3 linked regions of the Sus scrofa genome follow. The protein of the gene in region 3 binds, or shares a complex with, the protein of the main gene of each other region. Links are inferred from orthologs where the notes say so. Each region holds a gene or a part of one and is shown on either strand. Other genes may lie near its edges. The genes, in order: ubiquitin-conjugating enzyme E2 E1, SKP2 and TRIM21.

Evidence for each region.
Region 1: the proteins of TRIM21 (region 3) and ubiquitin-conjugating enzyme E2 E1 are in contact, whole or in part, in a crystal structure (PDB 6FGA), measured with the Homo sapiens proteins. The link is inferred for Sus scrofa from reciprocal best matches to the Homo sapiens genes TRIM21 and UBE2E1. Residues at the interface, in NP_003132.2 of Homo sapiens: Pro17, Ile18, Cys19, Leu20, Asp21, Glu38, Cys39, Gln42, Val43, Pro52, Arg55; in NP_003332.1 of Homo sapiens: Lys43, Lys50, Arg51, Lys54, Pro107, Phe108, Asn138, Trp139, Ser140, Pro141, Ala142, Thr144.
Region 2: TRIM21 (region 3) and SKP2 share a complex: the UniProt entries of both Homo sapiens proteins name them as parts of the SCF(SKP2)-like complex. The link is inferred for Sus scrofa from reciprocal best matches to the Homo sapiens genes TRIM21 and SKP2.

The regions. Positions count from the first base shown.
Region 1 is NC_010455.5:10,604,390-10,609,312, forward strand, and holds the start of ubiquitin-conjugating enzyme E2 E1, read left to right. Parts: upstream 1-1,447; 5' UTR 1,448-1,635; intron 1,636-2,709; 5' UTR 2,710-2,742; coding exon 2,743-2,894; intron 2,895-4,923. UniProt on the Homo sapiens protein: Accepts ubiquitin from the E1 complex and catalyzes its covalent attachment to other proteins. Catalyzes the covalent attachment of ISG15 to other proteins. Mediates the selective degradation of short-lived and abnormal proteins.
Region 2 is NC_010458.4:21,483,464-21,487,888, forward strand, and holds part of SKP2 (S-phase kinase-associated protein 2), read left to right. Parts: intron 1-820; coding exon 821-919; intron 920-2,344; coding exon 2,345-2,475; intron 2,476-4,425. UniProt on the Homo sapiens protein: Substrate recognition component of a SCF (SKP1-CUL1-F-box protein) E3 ubiquitin-protein ligase complex which mediates the ubiquitination and subsequent proteasomal degradation of target proteins involved in cell cycle progression, signal transduction and transcription.
Region 3 is NC_010451.4:5,780,616-5,785,542, reverse strand, and holds the start of TRIM21 (E3 ubiquitin-protein ligase TRIM21), read right to left. Parts: upstream 3,411-4,927; 5' UTR 3,264-3,410; intron 3,237-3,263; exon of another isoform or gene 3,030-3,236; intron 2,268-3,029; 5' UTR 2,222-2,267; coding exon 1,814-2,221; intron 1,311-1,813; coding exon 1,215-1,310; intron 111-1,214; coding exon 1-110. UniProt on the Homo sapiens protein: E3 ubiquitin-protein ligase whose activity is dependent on E2 enzymes, UBE2D1, UBE2D2, UBE2E1 and UBE2E2.

The sequences.
Region 1 (4,923 bases), on a different chromosome or scaffold from region 3:
CCTGGTTTAAGGAGGTTTTTTTTGTTTGTTTTGTATTGTCTACCAGGATTCTTGAAATCAAACTCTCACCTCCAGGATCTTTTCAAAATTTCTAGACATTTGAGTGATTGAGGGATAGCTCTGTCTGGAGGTAGGAGGCTGGAGGCTGAAATGATGACTGAAGTGGTTTTTTCCCAGTTTTTGGACCCCTCAGGTCTATGACAATTTCTGCAAGTAGACAGATACAGGTTTCCCGGAAAGGACTGAGCAAGAAGTCTGCACGATTACTTTATGACTCTTAAAAAAGTTGGAGTTTCATGTTGAGGACTAGAAGAGGTTTAGGTGGGTGGTAAGAATGCTTGTTTTCCTGGTTAGTTGGATATGCCACTGGCTTTATGTCTTCTGTTGTCCGGTGGTAAATGAAGCCACACTGTTGCTATGGAAAAGGATGGCAGTTTGGGATAATTTAGAGTGGCCCAGGGAAATCTGGGCAGTTGCTTAGTGTACCACACCTAGTATATGTTACACTACACATATCTCTTCAGTTTCCTGCAACTGAAATGACAAATAAGTGAGAAACTGAATTGTAATTTGATGGCTTAACTAAAAAAAATTAATCTTGGTAAACACGATAAATAAAGAAGAGTTCCGAAGAATTAGAGGGATTATTATTAAAATCTTATGATTTGAATAGCATTTATATTGTCGCTGAAGAAGCTGCAGCCGTCCTCAAAACTTTTAATATAATTTCCGACAGCAAAAATTCTAAATCCAGTCTAATTCAGTAGTAGAGGGTTTATTCCCATTGATTTCTCACATTAGAAAGCCTCTTAGACGTTGGTTGGTTTTACCTGTCACGAAATCCACTGTATCACTTTTATAAAACACTTCTTTCTATAAAAAGTGACTGGAAGAATCGAAAATTGTAAAATTGCACGTGCCTGAGCAGAAAACTCCAATCTTGGGATTTTCTCACAGGCGTGCCTAAACCGACCTCTGCTCCTAGCAGGTAAATTGCCAGAGGGGGAAGCCAGGGTCAGCCCAAAGGAAACCCTGTTGTGGGATTTCTTTCTTTCTCCCTTAAACTGATCACTTTTTAGGAGGAGTTCCCTCGGTATTCACTAGTCCAAAGTCCTGGCACCAGATTACCATCTTTTTTACCAAACTGCCCCCGCTTTCCCAAAGCCCTTTTGGTAAGAACTTCCCCTCGCGGTCGCCCTATTCCCGACAGTTCCCAGCGCCCCCAGTCTCGGGACGGCTTCCCCTCTTCAGCCCAGGATCCAGGGGTCCCCCAGACTCCTCCGGAGAAAATTCACAGCCCTTGCCCCCTGGCCCCGCGTCCCGACGAGGCGCCGGGGTGGGGGTGGGGCGGGGAGGGGCCGGGCTTCCCGGGGTCCCCGGGTGCTCCTGGCGCCCCCCGGAGGTGTGCCCGGGGAGGGGAGCGCGGGTGGGTGGGACCGGCCGGACGGGGTGGGGGAGGGGGAGGAGGAGTGTGTGTGCGAGCGTGTGTGGCTGGGGGAAGCCATTGCCTGTTTAATAGTTGCTGTTGCTGCACTTCCGCTTCTCTCCCAGCGAGAGAGACACGAGTGGCCAGGCCCAGCCGCAGCCGCAGCAGCAGCCGCCGCGGCGGCACGGAGCAGCCAGACACAAAGAGAGGTACGGGGATCCCCCCCGCCGCCTGCCGCCCCCCGGCCGCGCCGCCGGGCTTCGGGGACACCCCTCGCCGCCGCCCCCGACCCGCGCCGCCCGGGCCGCCGGGCACGGGGCCGGGGGCGCGGAGAGGGGCTAGGGAGCTCCGGGGGTCCGGGCCCGCCCGCGGGGGATGGGCAGGGCCCCGGGCCGCGTGGGGTGCGGGGCCGCCCGCGTCGGGGGCGGGGGGCACAGGGCTCGAACTGTCAGCGCTGCCCCGGGAGCCCCCCGCTGGCCGCCGAGGGGCCGGGAACGGGGGAGGGGAGGCGGGGAGCCCCGTTTTCCCCTGGGGCGGGGGCCCGTGGGGATTAACCCCTCCGGGGCGCACGGGCTCATTGTTATTCCTCAGCAGAGGAGGCCGAGTCCCCCCCTCACCCCCGCCCCCACCCGGGGTGCCGATCGGGCGTGTGCCTGGGACCCCCGCCCGGGCCGCGCAGACCCGACCCGCACGGTCCGGGGGCTGGCTGGCAAGGGGCGTCGGGGCGCGGCGGGGGCCTCGGGCCTCGTCGCTCCTACCCCCCTCCGGCCTCTCCCTTCCCCCACGCGGGCCCCCGCTGCCCGCCTCCGTCCCCCCGTTTCGGCTTCCTCTCTTACTCCTCTCCGCCCTCCTCTCCTCCTGACCTCGCCAAACTCGGCGGCTGGCCCCCAGCTCCCCTACGACCCCCGGAAAGCCGCCGAAAACAGCCCGAGGCCGGCTGGCCGCCGGGACCTTCCCTGCCCGCCCCGGCCGGGCGCCCCGCACCCCCGCCCGCCGGCTGCTCCTCTCCCCGCCCGGAGGGGAGCCCCGGGGGGCGAGGGAGGGGCTGCTCTCTGCCCTCCCAACCGTTTTCCCACCACGTCCCCCACATGGGGCCCCGAATAAACAAACAAGCCGCGTCCAATTTGCAAAAGCCATGATGGGCCCGAAGACTTTGAAAAGCGAGTGGAGGGCGGTGGGCGGCTGGGTGCACCCCCGGCCGAAGCCCTCCTGACAGCGCCCGAGTTCCTTATTTACACTGGCTGCATGGTTTGTGTTTCTGTTTTGTTTCCCTCCCCCTGCAGGGGCTGTTTGCGGGGTGGGGTGGGGGGTTCGCTATGTCGGATGACGATTCGAGGGCCAGCACCAGCTCCTCCTCATCTTCGTCCTCCAACCAGCAAACCGAGAAAGAAACAAACACCCCCAAGAAGAAGGAGAGTAAAGTCAGCATGAGCAAAAACTCCAAACTCCTCTCCACCAGCGCCAAGAGGTACGGTACCCCCTCCCCACCCCCACCCCCAGCAGGCTTCCTATTTCCCAAACTGCCTCTTGCTGCATTTGGTCTGCCTCCATGAGGGTAGCTTAACCGCTCCTCATGGTTTATATGTTCTTAAAGAGGAGAAAAGGGGCCTTGGAGGCCCTAATTGTTTTTCTCGGTGCCTTCTTCTGTTTTTTCTTTTAATCACTGTCCACATGCAGCTGTTGTGGCTTGCCTCTCCCATATCTTGCTGAAGTTTGTAAGAATTTTCATTACTATTATTAGTGACCACCGAATCTGATTTCACATTACTTGTCCTGTTAATCACTAATCTGTGACCCTTCTCAAGGCTGTCATCCCACTTCTTACTAATACCTACCCAGACAGTTCTATCACAATGAATTCTATTACCGTCTTACTTCTCACCTGTTGCACTTATGAACTGTTTTGAATAGAGCTTTCTCCACAGATTGCATGAGGAATAAATAACTCATTTTGGCAGAGTAAAAACTCTAATGGGTAGAGATAGATGTTTTCGGATGGAATTTAAAGAGATTTTTTAGATTTAGAGAGTTGAGGCAAGTGAATGAATCAATAGGTGATGTAAAATGGCTATTCTAGGCTATTTTGGGGATTCTTGTTGTTCTCTTTGAGAACCTCAATTTACCAAATTTCAGGGAAACTCAAATTTTTTTCATGGTATTTCATTGTTGATTTTTAAGTTGAATTCAAGCAGTGGTTCTTTTTCTTTGCTCTCTTCCTCTTATGTCTCTGGAAGAAGCTACTTTTTAACCTCCATTATCCTTCAGTAGTGTCCTCTGATTCCCATGACCCTTAAAGTATCTATAGTAGATTCCTGGGAACCCCTATAGTTTATAAATCCTGCTGTCGGTTGTAGAGTCATTAAACTTTAAGGTGGCAAACCAGAAAGACAGTAAGGAATCCAAATGGTGGGTTAGCTGGAGATACCTTTCTTTTTTTCTTTTTACTGTTCTTTCTTTTTTTTTTTTTAGGGCCCCACCCTTGGCATATGGAGGTTCCTAGGCTAGGGGTCCATTCACCATAGCCACAGGAAGGAGGGAACGGAGCGGGTCCTTAATGAACTGAAGGAGGCCAGGGATTAGACCTGTGTCCTCATGGATGCTAGTCAGATATGATTCCGCTGAGCCCCTGAGGGGAACGCCGAGATACCTTTATTAAAACAATGTAAAGTAAAAGGGAACTTGATGCTTTAAATCTCTTCACTGAGTAGTGTGCCAAATAGAGTTTGAAAGTTTGTCCTGTTACTCTCCCTGACTTGAAATTTGGTAGGTTGGTACGGTGTTTTGGTGACCTCACCCTAGGAGGATGAAGGGATGACTTGCGCTTATTTTAAATAGTGGAGAGGTGTAGAGTTAAGTGGCAAGATCCTTTGGTAAGATTGTTCTTGGTTTCAGGGGTTAGTTTGATTGCACCTCAACTTTATGGAAGTCCTAACTGGTCCTTTTTGTTTAGCCCTGTGCTGTGTCTTTCAGAACCTGGCATCTACTCCTGCCCACTTTGGATGGGGCCTTCCTTAATCTTCCTCCCAACTCCTTCCCAGCATCTAAACTCCTTATCCAAGCTGACCTAAGGTGGAATATTTGCTTTTAGGTCATTAGTATTTTTATATTTTGCTGGATATCTCTGGTGTACATGAATATATTTGGGGATGATGCACAGGTGTCAAATATTAGTCTGCTTTGTGTCAGCAAATTACAGAGGGGGATTTATCATTAGATACAATTTGTCCATTTACTCTAGGGGGGTTAAAAACTCATTTGGAAATGCAGGGGAAAGAGATGGTAGGTGGAAAAAAAAAAAGGTGAGAAGCTACCGACCATAATTGTACCTATAAAGTTAACATCAGCTTTACTTTCCTGGGAATCTTGCGGAAAGAGTGGCTGTTAATGTAAAGTTAGTGTAATGGTTAATAGTGAGGTGAAAAATGGAGAGGGATGGTGTATCCTGGAATGAATAAGGGGAAAAGGGATCCTACCAACCCTGCTCTGGGAATTAGACT
Region 2 (4,425 bases), on a different chromosome or scaffold from region 3:
CAAGGTCACATAGTTAGTAGGTGGCAGAAGTGAGATTTGAACCTGGCAATACAGTATGATTCCAGAACTCTTGCCCTTCATCACTAAGTTTCACTAACATGAGGCATTTGGGAAGGAGGAGAGGGCAAATCTGAGAGACACTTAATTGAAGCAACCTGGTGACTTGACACATAGACATTTACCTACAACTAACTCTGGCTGTGGGTGAAATGGAAATATGTTTTATTGCTGGATTTTTCTTGTTTTTTGTTTTTGTTTTTTTTTTTCAATTTAAAAAGTACATTGATCAGTGTTTGTTGTGTACTCACTGTGTCCCAGATACTGTACTAAGGCCTTTATTCCATAATATCATCCAATTTTAACAAAAAGTGCTGATGTTGCCATTTCCCAGAGGAGTAAACTAAGGCAAAGCATCCTACTTGGTGCCATAGAGATCATAAGATGCGAATTTAAACTTCTGACTCAGGGAGTTCCTGTTGTGGCTCAGCAAGTTAAAAACCCAGCTAATATCCATGAGGATGTGGGTTCGATCCCTGACCTCGCTCAGTGGGTTAAGTTCTGGTGTTGCCACAGACTGCAGCATGGATCACAGATGTGGCTCAGTCCAGTGTTGCTGTGGCTGAGGCGTAGGTCTCAGCTGCAGCTCCAATTCGACTCCTAGTCCGGGAACTTCCATATGCCACACACGCGGCCCTTTAAAGAGAAAAAAACAAACTTTTGACTCAGAGGTCTGAGTACTTTTAACTACATCACTTACCTCATGCTTGTCGATTGAATAAGAGTGTTTTGTTGGTATTATGACACTGTTCTCTTTTTCCAGTAATCTTGCTCAGAACACAAATTTAGTGCGACTAAACCTTTCTGGGTGTTCTGGATTCTCCGAATCTGCCCTAAAGACCTTGCTGAGCAGCTGTTCCAGGTAGGAGAAATTTGAGATTTGATTATAGAACTGTTTCATATATACAATTATCTCTCACATCAGAATAGAATTGGAGGAGTTCCCATTGTAGCTCAGTGGTAACGAACCCTACTAGCATCCATGAGGATGAGGGTTCAATCCCTGGCCCCACTCAGCAGGTTAAGAATCTGGCATTGCTGGGACTGTGGTGTAGACCAGCAGCTGTAGCTCCGATCCAGCCCCTAGCCTGGGAACCTCCATATGCCATGGATGTGGCCCTAAAAATTGTTTTTTAAAAATTAAAAATAAAAAATTTTAAAGAATATAATCAGATAAAATTTTTAAGCTATTCCTAACTCTCTGAGCTCTTGATTTGGATAATGCAATATCCTTTGCCCTCCAAACTTCCCATCTCAACTCAAGAGCCAAGTCGATTAAGTCTGCAAAGGACACTTGTATAGTGATCCCTTTTTTTTTTCTGTGACTATTAAAACAAGGGAAATTTAGTAGTGTGTTTATTAGTGGTATGCTTCAAAGTATTCTGTGTACACCTGACTATACAGTCAGGCTTTATAAAATCTGTAGACCTAACTTAACAGTTATTATATTGTTATTGCAGAACACTCCATGACTTTGGTTGATTTATCTTTTATGTAGTAATATCAGTATATAAAGGAAGACTACAGAGTTAGAGAAATTAATACGTGAGGGAGGACATGGTTCACAGAATACCCAATAGTCTATGCATGTGTCCTTTTTAATATCCCTTGGTCTCTGTGCTATAGCATTATACCTATTTCTCCTTAGTGACCTGTTGAAAGTAGATTGCCTTTGGATAAGCATGTTGTCAATGAGATAAAATGGTAACCCTACATTTTCTCAGCAATGTCAGGAATGGAGTGTGTAGTTTAATGGTTGGACTTTTACTTTGAAGCCCTCATTTGCTCACTTAGCAGAGGCCAAATAAGATAAACGTGGATTTTTGTAATATGAGCATCTCTTTATTAGGAATCCCCAGCACAATCTGTCAATTTTTCTAAAACATCTGAGGGACTTGCTCATTCTTCGTAGTTTTTGGCTAACAACCCAGGTGGTTGAGAAAAAAAAAAAAATGTACAGCCTGGAGTTTCCCCCTTGAGCCCTACCTAGGATGAGGTTCGAGCCCTCAGCAGGCAAGGAGAGCGTTCCCCTCCACTTCCACAAGGGGGCAGCATTCACTAAGGCTTTGGCTCACATCTCCTGGAGACTTTCTGGGACAAACTGGACCTAGATAGGTGAAGGCAGTTTCAGGTGAGCAGATGTAGCTGCTTAGAGAAGCAGAGGTTCTATCAGAAAATGGTAAGGAAAGTACAGCTTTGTACTTTCTTGGTTTACAGCCTGAGGCAGTGCTATCTAGAAAAGTGGGTGACACTTTTATACTCTCCTCATCATCCCTCTCGTGTCCAGATTGGATGAGCTGAACCTCTCCTGGTGTTATGACTTCACTGAAAAGCACGTGCAGGTGGCTGTTGCACACGTGTCAGAGACCATCACCCAGCTGAATCTCAGCGGCTACCGAAAGAATCTGCAGAAATCAGGTAAGACTCTCCAGGCTGCTGGACCCTTAGCAACGGCAAACCCAACAATAACAGCAAGTTTGATTTCTCAAGCATTTCCCAAGCACGGTCCTCCATAAACTGCCTCATTTAATCCAGTTCATGTGCTGCCATTCTTACAGCCGCTGATCAGAAGTGGTAGGTAAAGCTGGTGGGATAGTGTCAAGGTTTGAATCCAGAATCTGGAAGCATTTATGTTTAATTTATGTTTAAGCAGAAGACCTTTTTTTTTCTCTTTTCTTTTTACGACTGCACCTGCAGCATATGGAAGTTCTCAGGCTAGGGGTAAAATCAGAGATGCAACTGCAGGCCTATGCCACAGCAGCAGCAACAGCAGTGCTGGATCCAAGCCACATCTACGACCTGTACTGCAGCTTGTGGCAACACCAGATCTTTAACCACTGATCGAGGCCAGGCTTCCTCAGGGACACTATGTTGAATTTTTAACCTGCTGAGCCACAGTGGGAACTCCAGAAGAACTTACTTTAACTAAATTAAGTAAAACCCCAACATAAAAATCAATAAATGCAGTGTTTGCTTAGTTGTTTTGTGTGTGTGTGTGGTTTTTTTTTTTTTTTTTAAGGTGCGGCATGTGGAAGTTCCCGGACTAGGGGTTAAATTGGAGCTGCTGCTGCCGGCCTACACCACAGCCACATCAATGCAGGATCTGAGCTGCATCTGCCACCTACACCACAGCTCACCACAATGCTGGATCCTTAACCCACTGAGTGAGGCCAGGGATTGAACCCACATCCTCATGGATCCTAGTCGGGATCGTTAGCCGCTGAGCCACGAAGGGAATTGTCGTGGTGTTTGCTTAGTTTTAAGCAGTGGTTCTCAACTGGGACCAAGCAGGGGACATTTGTTGAGGTCTAGAGACATTTTTGATTGTCACGGCTGCAGGGGTGTTATTGGCATCTAGTGGACAGAAGCCAGGAATGCTGGTGAACAATGCACAGGACAGCAGAATAACACACAGAAAAGAATCTGGTCTGAAATGTCAATAGTACCAAGTTTAAAAAACCCTGTTTATAAGCCCTCTTTCTAAGTTCATATTTATAACTCTTTTTTTCAGTTCGGTCTAAGAGGACAATGAAGTTGTTTAGACAAACACAGGAATTTAAAGTCAAGGGTACTATGTGACAAAGTCTTTATAACCTTCAGCATTCAGTTATGCTTTGTTTTATTAGTCTAATATTAACAGAATCTTGATTTGCAAAGATAAGTGTTTGCAGATGGCAAGATTTTTTTTTTTTCCTGCAGGCTAGGGGTCGAATTGGAGCTGTAGCCACCGGCCTGTGCCAAAGCCACAGCAATACCAGATCTGAGCTGCATCTGTGACCTTCACCACAGCTCACGGCAATGCCGGATTCTTAGCCCACTGAGCAAGGCCAGGGATCGAACCTGCAACTTCATGGATACTAGTCAGATTTGTTTCCACTGAGCCCCAACGGGAATTCCTGGCAAGATTTTTTTTTTTTTAATTGAAGTGTAGTTGCTGTACAATGTTACAAAAATTAGAGGTGAACAATAGAGTGATTCACAGTTTTTAAAGGTTATACTGTATTTATAGTTACTATAAAATATTGGTTTTATGCCCTGTTTTGTACATTATGTCCTCGTCGATTATTTCTTTAACACATACTAGTTCGTACCTGTGCTTATCTTACCCTTTCCCCCTTCCCTCTCCCCACTGGTAACCAGTAGTTTGTTCTCTATATCTGTGATCTGCTTCTTTTTTTATTATAGGCACTGGTGTGTTATAGTTTTAGATTCCACATATAAGTGCTCTTATAGTTTTTGTCTTTCTCTCTCAGACTGACTTCACTTAGCAGTTTAACAGCTTCCCCTTGTGATCTCAGGCTGTGGCCTCCACAAAGCCCAGTTAAGCCAGCCACAGCCCTCAGCCCCTTTTCCATGTCTTGATGGTAG
Region 3 (4,927 bases):
CGCTCCTCCTCCTCCAGCTTCTGCAGCTGCCTCTGCTCCTCTTCTGCCAGGAAGTTTTTCTGCCGGACAAACTCTTCGTGGATCCTCAGTTTGTGGGCCTCAACCTTCCCCTTGGGTGTCAATGGAAAGAAAGAGGTGTTTTGGTTTTTTCAATCAAAATCTCCTAAGCTTTGGGAATGGAGGTATCCATATCTACTTGCCTTCCTTGTAGACTCATCATCTGGCTGTGTCTGGGAATAAACACACATCCGCAATTTTGCTGGGGAGGTCAGTGGGGGGCTGGAGCTTCTTCCACTAAGAGGGGGAGGTTGGGGGGGGGGGCGCTGAAGCGTCCTGGACTAAGAGGGGGAGTGGCGCTGGTGGGGAGAGCACCGGAGCTGCCCTACAACCATGGCAACATCAGCCGAAAGTACCAGGGACTCCTCAACCTTCTTCAGGTCACCGCCCAAATGTGCCCCTTTGTCCTCTTATCCCAGCGAGTTGCAGAGGGAGCAACCCCGTCCCTACCCCTAAAGCCTCGCAAAGACAGCTCACTAGTCCACTCCCAAGCCCTGGGGGAAACTGGGCTAGTCTCTGCCTGCCCTCTCCTGCTGTGACCAGAGAGGGACGTGATGACACGAGATGACCTCTCTTGCCGCCACAGCCTGACTCACCCTTCCCGGGTCCATGAGCTCCTCCCACTGTCTCTAGTTCCTGACCCACTGCTGCCCAAGCCCTGGAGCAGAACAGGCCGTAGCTCCCGCGACACCTTGCACCAGGAACAGCACGCCGTCAAGAAACCCCTGGTCAGGCTGGTTTTCCTCCCTCAGGCCTTGATGGCTCCTTAAGTCTGTCCTCAGAGCCCTTGTCATGTCCCGACAGGCCGAGCCACCGGGCATTCCTTCCTGGGACTCCTCTGTTGCAGACACGGGCCCTGTGCTGTCATCGCCTGAGACCGGGCTCCAGGAACAGGAGCTTTGGGGTCCGTCTTGTCCCCGTGCATTCTCCCCAAGACCCCCTGTCTTTGCGTCTGACTGGAGTGCCCGCCTTTTGGGCACCGTGCTTTCCTGCTCCCTTCTCTCAGGAGACCCAGGGCACGGCTGGTTTTTGGAGACTGACACATGGGGACTCCCAGTCTCCTGACGGGCATAGCTATGCACAGAGCTCTCGAGGCCAGGACCCTGGACCCTCCCCAGGCTTCTGATCTAAAGTGCCCTTCAGGACGTGCCCCTTGCCTTCCAGGCTGCTCTCTTCGTTGCAATATCCGCTTCCAGCTTCTCAGCCTGCTCCTGTTTATTTCTGAGTTTCTCGAGTGCCACCTGGAGCTTCTCCTGCAGAGAAAGACAGCGGGTAATGCCCAGTCAGACCAAAAAGTAGGGTGGGGGGGCACAAGGTCCAGGAGGATCCTACTGGTCCTTAGAAAAGCCTGAGGCGGGGAGGAGGAAGGGTGAGCCTCTGACCGGGGTGGGCATTCTGTGATGGGAAGACTCTGGAAAAAGCCTGATGTTTCTTAGGAAATAGAGGTACCCTGTTGGCGTGGTGGGGGTGGGGACACATTCGTTCCTAATTAACCAGGAGGCCACACAGAAGCATGGGCCTTGCAGCCTTTTCCCACAACAGACGCCCTGCTCCTGGGCAGTGGGAAAATCGTGCCGAGATGGTGGGTCTTCCCTTAAATAGGACATAGAAGGCAGGGGATCCCCTTCCTGTCCCCAACCCCTCAACTCCACAGGTGACTCGGTCCCACCCCCAGCCCGGGAGAACAAAGCGCTTATCAGGGCCCCACCTTCTTCCCGCCTGCTCGTGCCCAGGTGCCTCCGGGCTAAGGCCTCACCTGGTACTCCTGAGCCGCCTCCTCAATGGGGACCATGGTGTGGTCCCGGTGTTTCCGGGACTGGGAACACACCCAGCAAAGGACCTTCCCATCGTCCTTACAGAACAGGTGAAGCTTCTCTCCGTGCACCGCACACAGCTCCCACTGCGGGCCTTCCTTGACCCCCTGGCTCATCTCTTTGAGGTTATCCACCATGTTGGCCACCTGCCGATTGGGCCGGAGGTTCCTGAGCAGGAAGTGCTGCCGGCACACAGGACAGACGCTGCCCCCATCCTTCCCAACCTCGGAGATGCATTCCTGGCAGAAGCTGTGGCCACATTCGATGCTCACGGGCTCCACCATGGGATCCAGGCAGATGGAGCACGTGACCTCATCCCACATCCTTGCCAAGGGCAGTGCTGAGGCCATGGTGCTGCCGGGCTATGAAGCAGCGCTGAGGAGATCTCGGGGTGGCCTAGCGGGGAGGGGAGAAAAGGAAAGAAGGCGATGAGAAGAGCTGTGTGAGGAAAACAGAACAATTCAAAGGAGACCTCGAGGGAGCGTGAACTGGAGGGGCTGAAAACAAAGGTAACAACGACGTCAACCTGAGTCACAAGGGCTTCTCCTCCGGAGTCTGGTCCAATGAGCCAGTCAGACAGAAGGGGAAACTGAGTCCTCAAAAGAGATAGCAAAAATTGCTGGGAATCTGAGATCAAGCTGCTTACAGTTCCACTTTCATGTCTATCTCTGCTGAAACCCTCGGCGCCCAGGCTTACTCGTCCATCTTCCATCTCCAGCCACTGGTCCTCTTGCTCTGCTGAGAAGCTAATCCTAATAGCAGCGACCACTTACCATGCCCCTTCCCCCGTGCCGGGAGGCACATACTTCACATTCCTCCTCATTAATCCCTGAAACTTGGCAGGAAGGAGCTATCTATCACCCACAATATGAACATATAAATAAGTATATATATACACACACATCTGCACGTGCACATATTTATCCATATGTGCAGGTGTACATACCTATGTGTGTACACACACACAGACACACCCACACACCCACACATGTCTAAAGAGCACTCCCCCACCTGTTCCCTCAGCTTCCTGAAGCAGGCACCTGTCTTTGTTTCCTCCAGGGCACAGACCCCAAAACTTCTAATACCCTAAGCAACCCTGCCCCTGTCGTTTCCAGAGGGGACTTTTGTGGATGGGCGTCTCGGGGATGGCAGGCCTACCCCGCCCTGGGCTCCGGAGGACTTGGAAGTCGGTTCACAGCCCAGCCTCCTCCCGGGCGGACGGCAGCACGGGGAAAACCGCCGGTTAGGGTCGAGGGAACCCTGCGCCCAAGAGGGCTCTGGGGCAGCAGAGAGCTCGGCTGCAAGGGGCTCTTCAGATCCGGGGCAGCGGAGAGCGGTCCCCCGGGGAGGCCTGGGGTACCCGGGTCTAACCGAGTTCGTGAATCCACTCACCTTTTCAAGGGACTCCGCAGATAATAGCTGGCTCCAAGTTTCACTTTCGATTTCCCGCATTTCCCGTCGAGCGCAAGTCTGAAAGGAAGGGGAGGGAAGGGGCGGAGGCGGAAGGCGGGAGGCGGGCGCGTTGAGCTTCGGCCAGTGTCAGCGCCCCGGGGCTAGGATGGCTCAGAGGCTCCGCAGCATCCAGTCCTTGCTTTGCGCTCCTTTCCAAGTCTCTCTGTCTAGTGGCCTCAAGTAGTGTGACTGCTCCGTGGAGAGGCTGCTCTCTTTGACTCGGGTGCTTAGCCCCAGCCTCCGTACCGTGCCACCCAGAGCTGCCTTAAGGAGTTTGGGGTGACCGAAGGAGCTCGGGGGAGCTCTCCCACAAAGGCCACCGTCTCTAGGGAGTTCCCTTCATGGCTCAGTGGTTAACCAACCCGACTAGGATCCATGAGGATGTGGGTTCCATCCCTGGCCTCGCTCAGTGCGTTAAGGATCTGACCTTTCGGTGAGCGGTGGTGTAGGTTTCAGGCGCCGCTGGGATCTGGTGTGGCTGTGGCTGTGGTTGAAGGCCGTCCCCTGTAGCTCTTATTTGATCCCTAGCCTGGGAACCTCCATATGCCACAAGTGTGTTCCTGAAAAGCAAAAAAAAAAAAAAAAAAAAAAAAAAGGCCAGTTTCTCTCTCCTACTTCAGGAAAAAATTCTTTTTAGGAGATGCGGTAATTAACATTGGGGAGAGAGGGATTTTTTTCCTGCATTTCTCCAAGGTGGGTATCACACCAGGGAGTGGGACGAAGGGGCCTGACATTTATTGAGCACCAACTGTAAACTTCTCACTGAGCTAGGGGTTTTCTCAGGTTTATTATTATCAATTTTAAAATTTGCAGCAAAATACACATAGCATTCACCATCTTAGCCATTTGTAAGTGTCTAGTTGCGTGGCATTAAATGCATTCACATTATTGTATGACCGTCACACTATCCACACACAGAACTTTGATCTTGCGAAACGTGAACTCTGCCCCCATTAAACAATAGTTTCCCATTCCTCCCTCCCCTCAGCCCCTGGCAACCACCATTCTGTTCTCTGTCTCTGTGAGTTTGACGTTTTCGGTGCCTTACGTAAGTGGCATCCTACCGTATTTGTCCCTTTGTGACTGGTGTATTTCACATAACCTGAGATCCTCAAGGTTCATCCACCGGAGCCGGTGACAGGACTGCCTTCCTTTTAAGGCTGAGCGATATTCCAGCGTCTGAGTATTCATTTTGATTATCCGGTTATCTGTCGACGGATGCTTGGGGTGGGTGGCTTCCGCCTACTGGTTAGGGTTAGGGTTAATACTGCTGTGTCAGGTTGTTTGCTTTAAGCCACGCAGCGACTTAGCAGTTGAGTTATTGTCACAGGAGAGGACACTGAGAATAAAGGGAGTGAGGTGACTTTAAGTGACACGGTAAACCATGGTGCCTGAGAGTTAAAAGTTCAGGGAGGACCCTCGTGTTAGGGACAGCCAGGAGATAACAGGCTGCCTGAGAGTCCAAGCAGAGGTTGTAGGCGCAGCTGATAGGTGTGCTCATGTGCTGTAGAGAAGGAAGATGGTGAGGCTGGAAAAACTCTCACTTCCTTCCTACTCATTTCTTTTGTCCCCATATAAAATAAATATCGGGAGTTCCCGTCGTG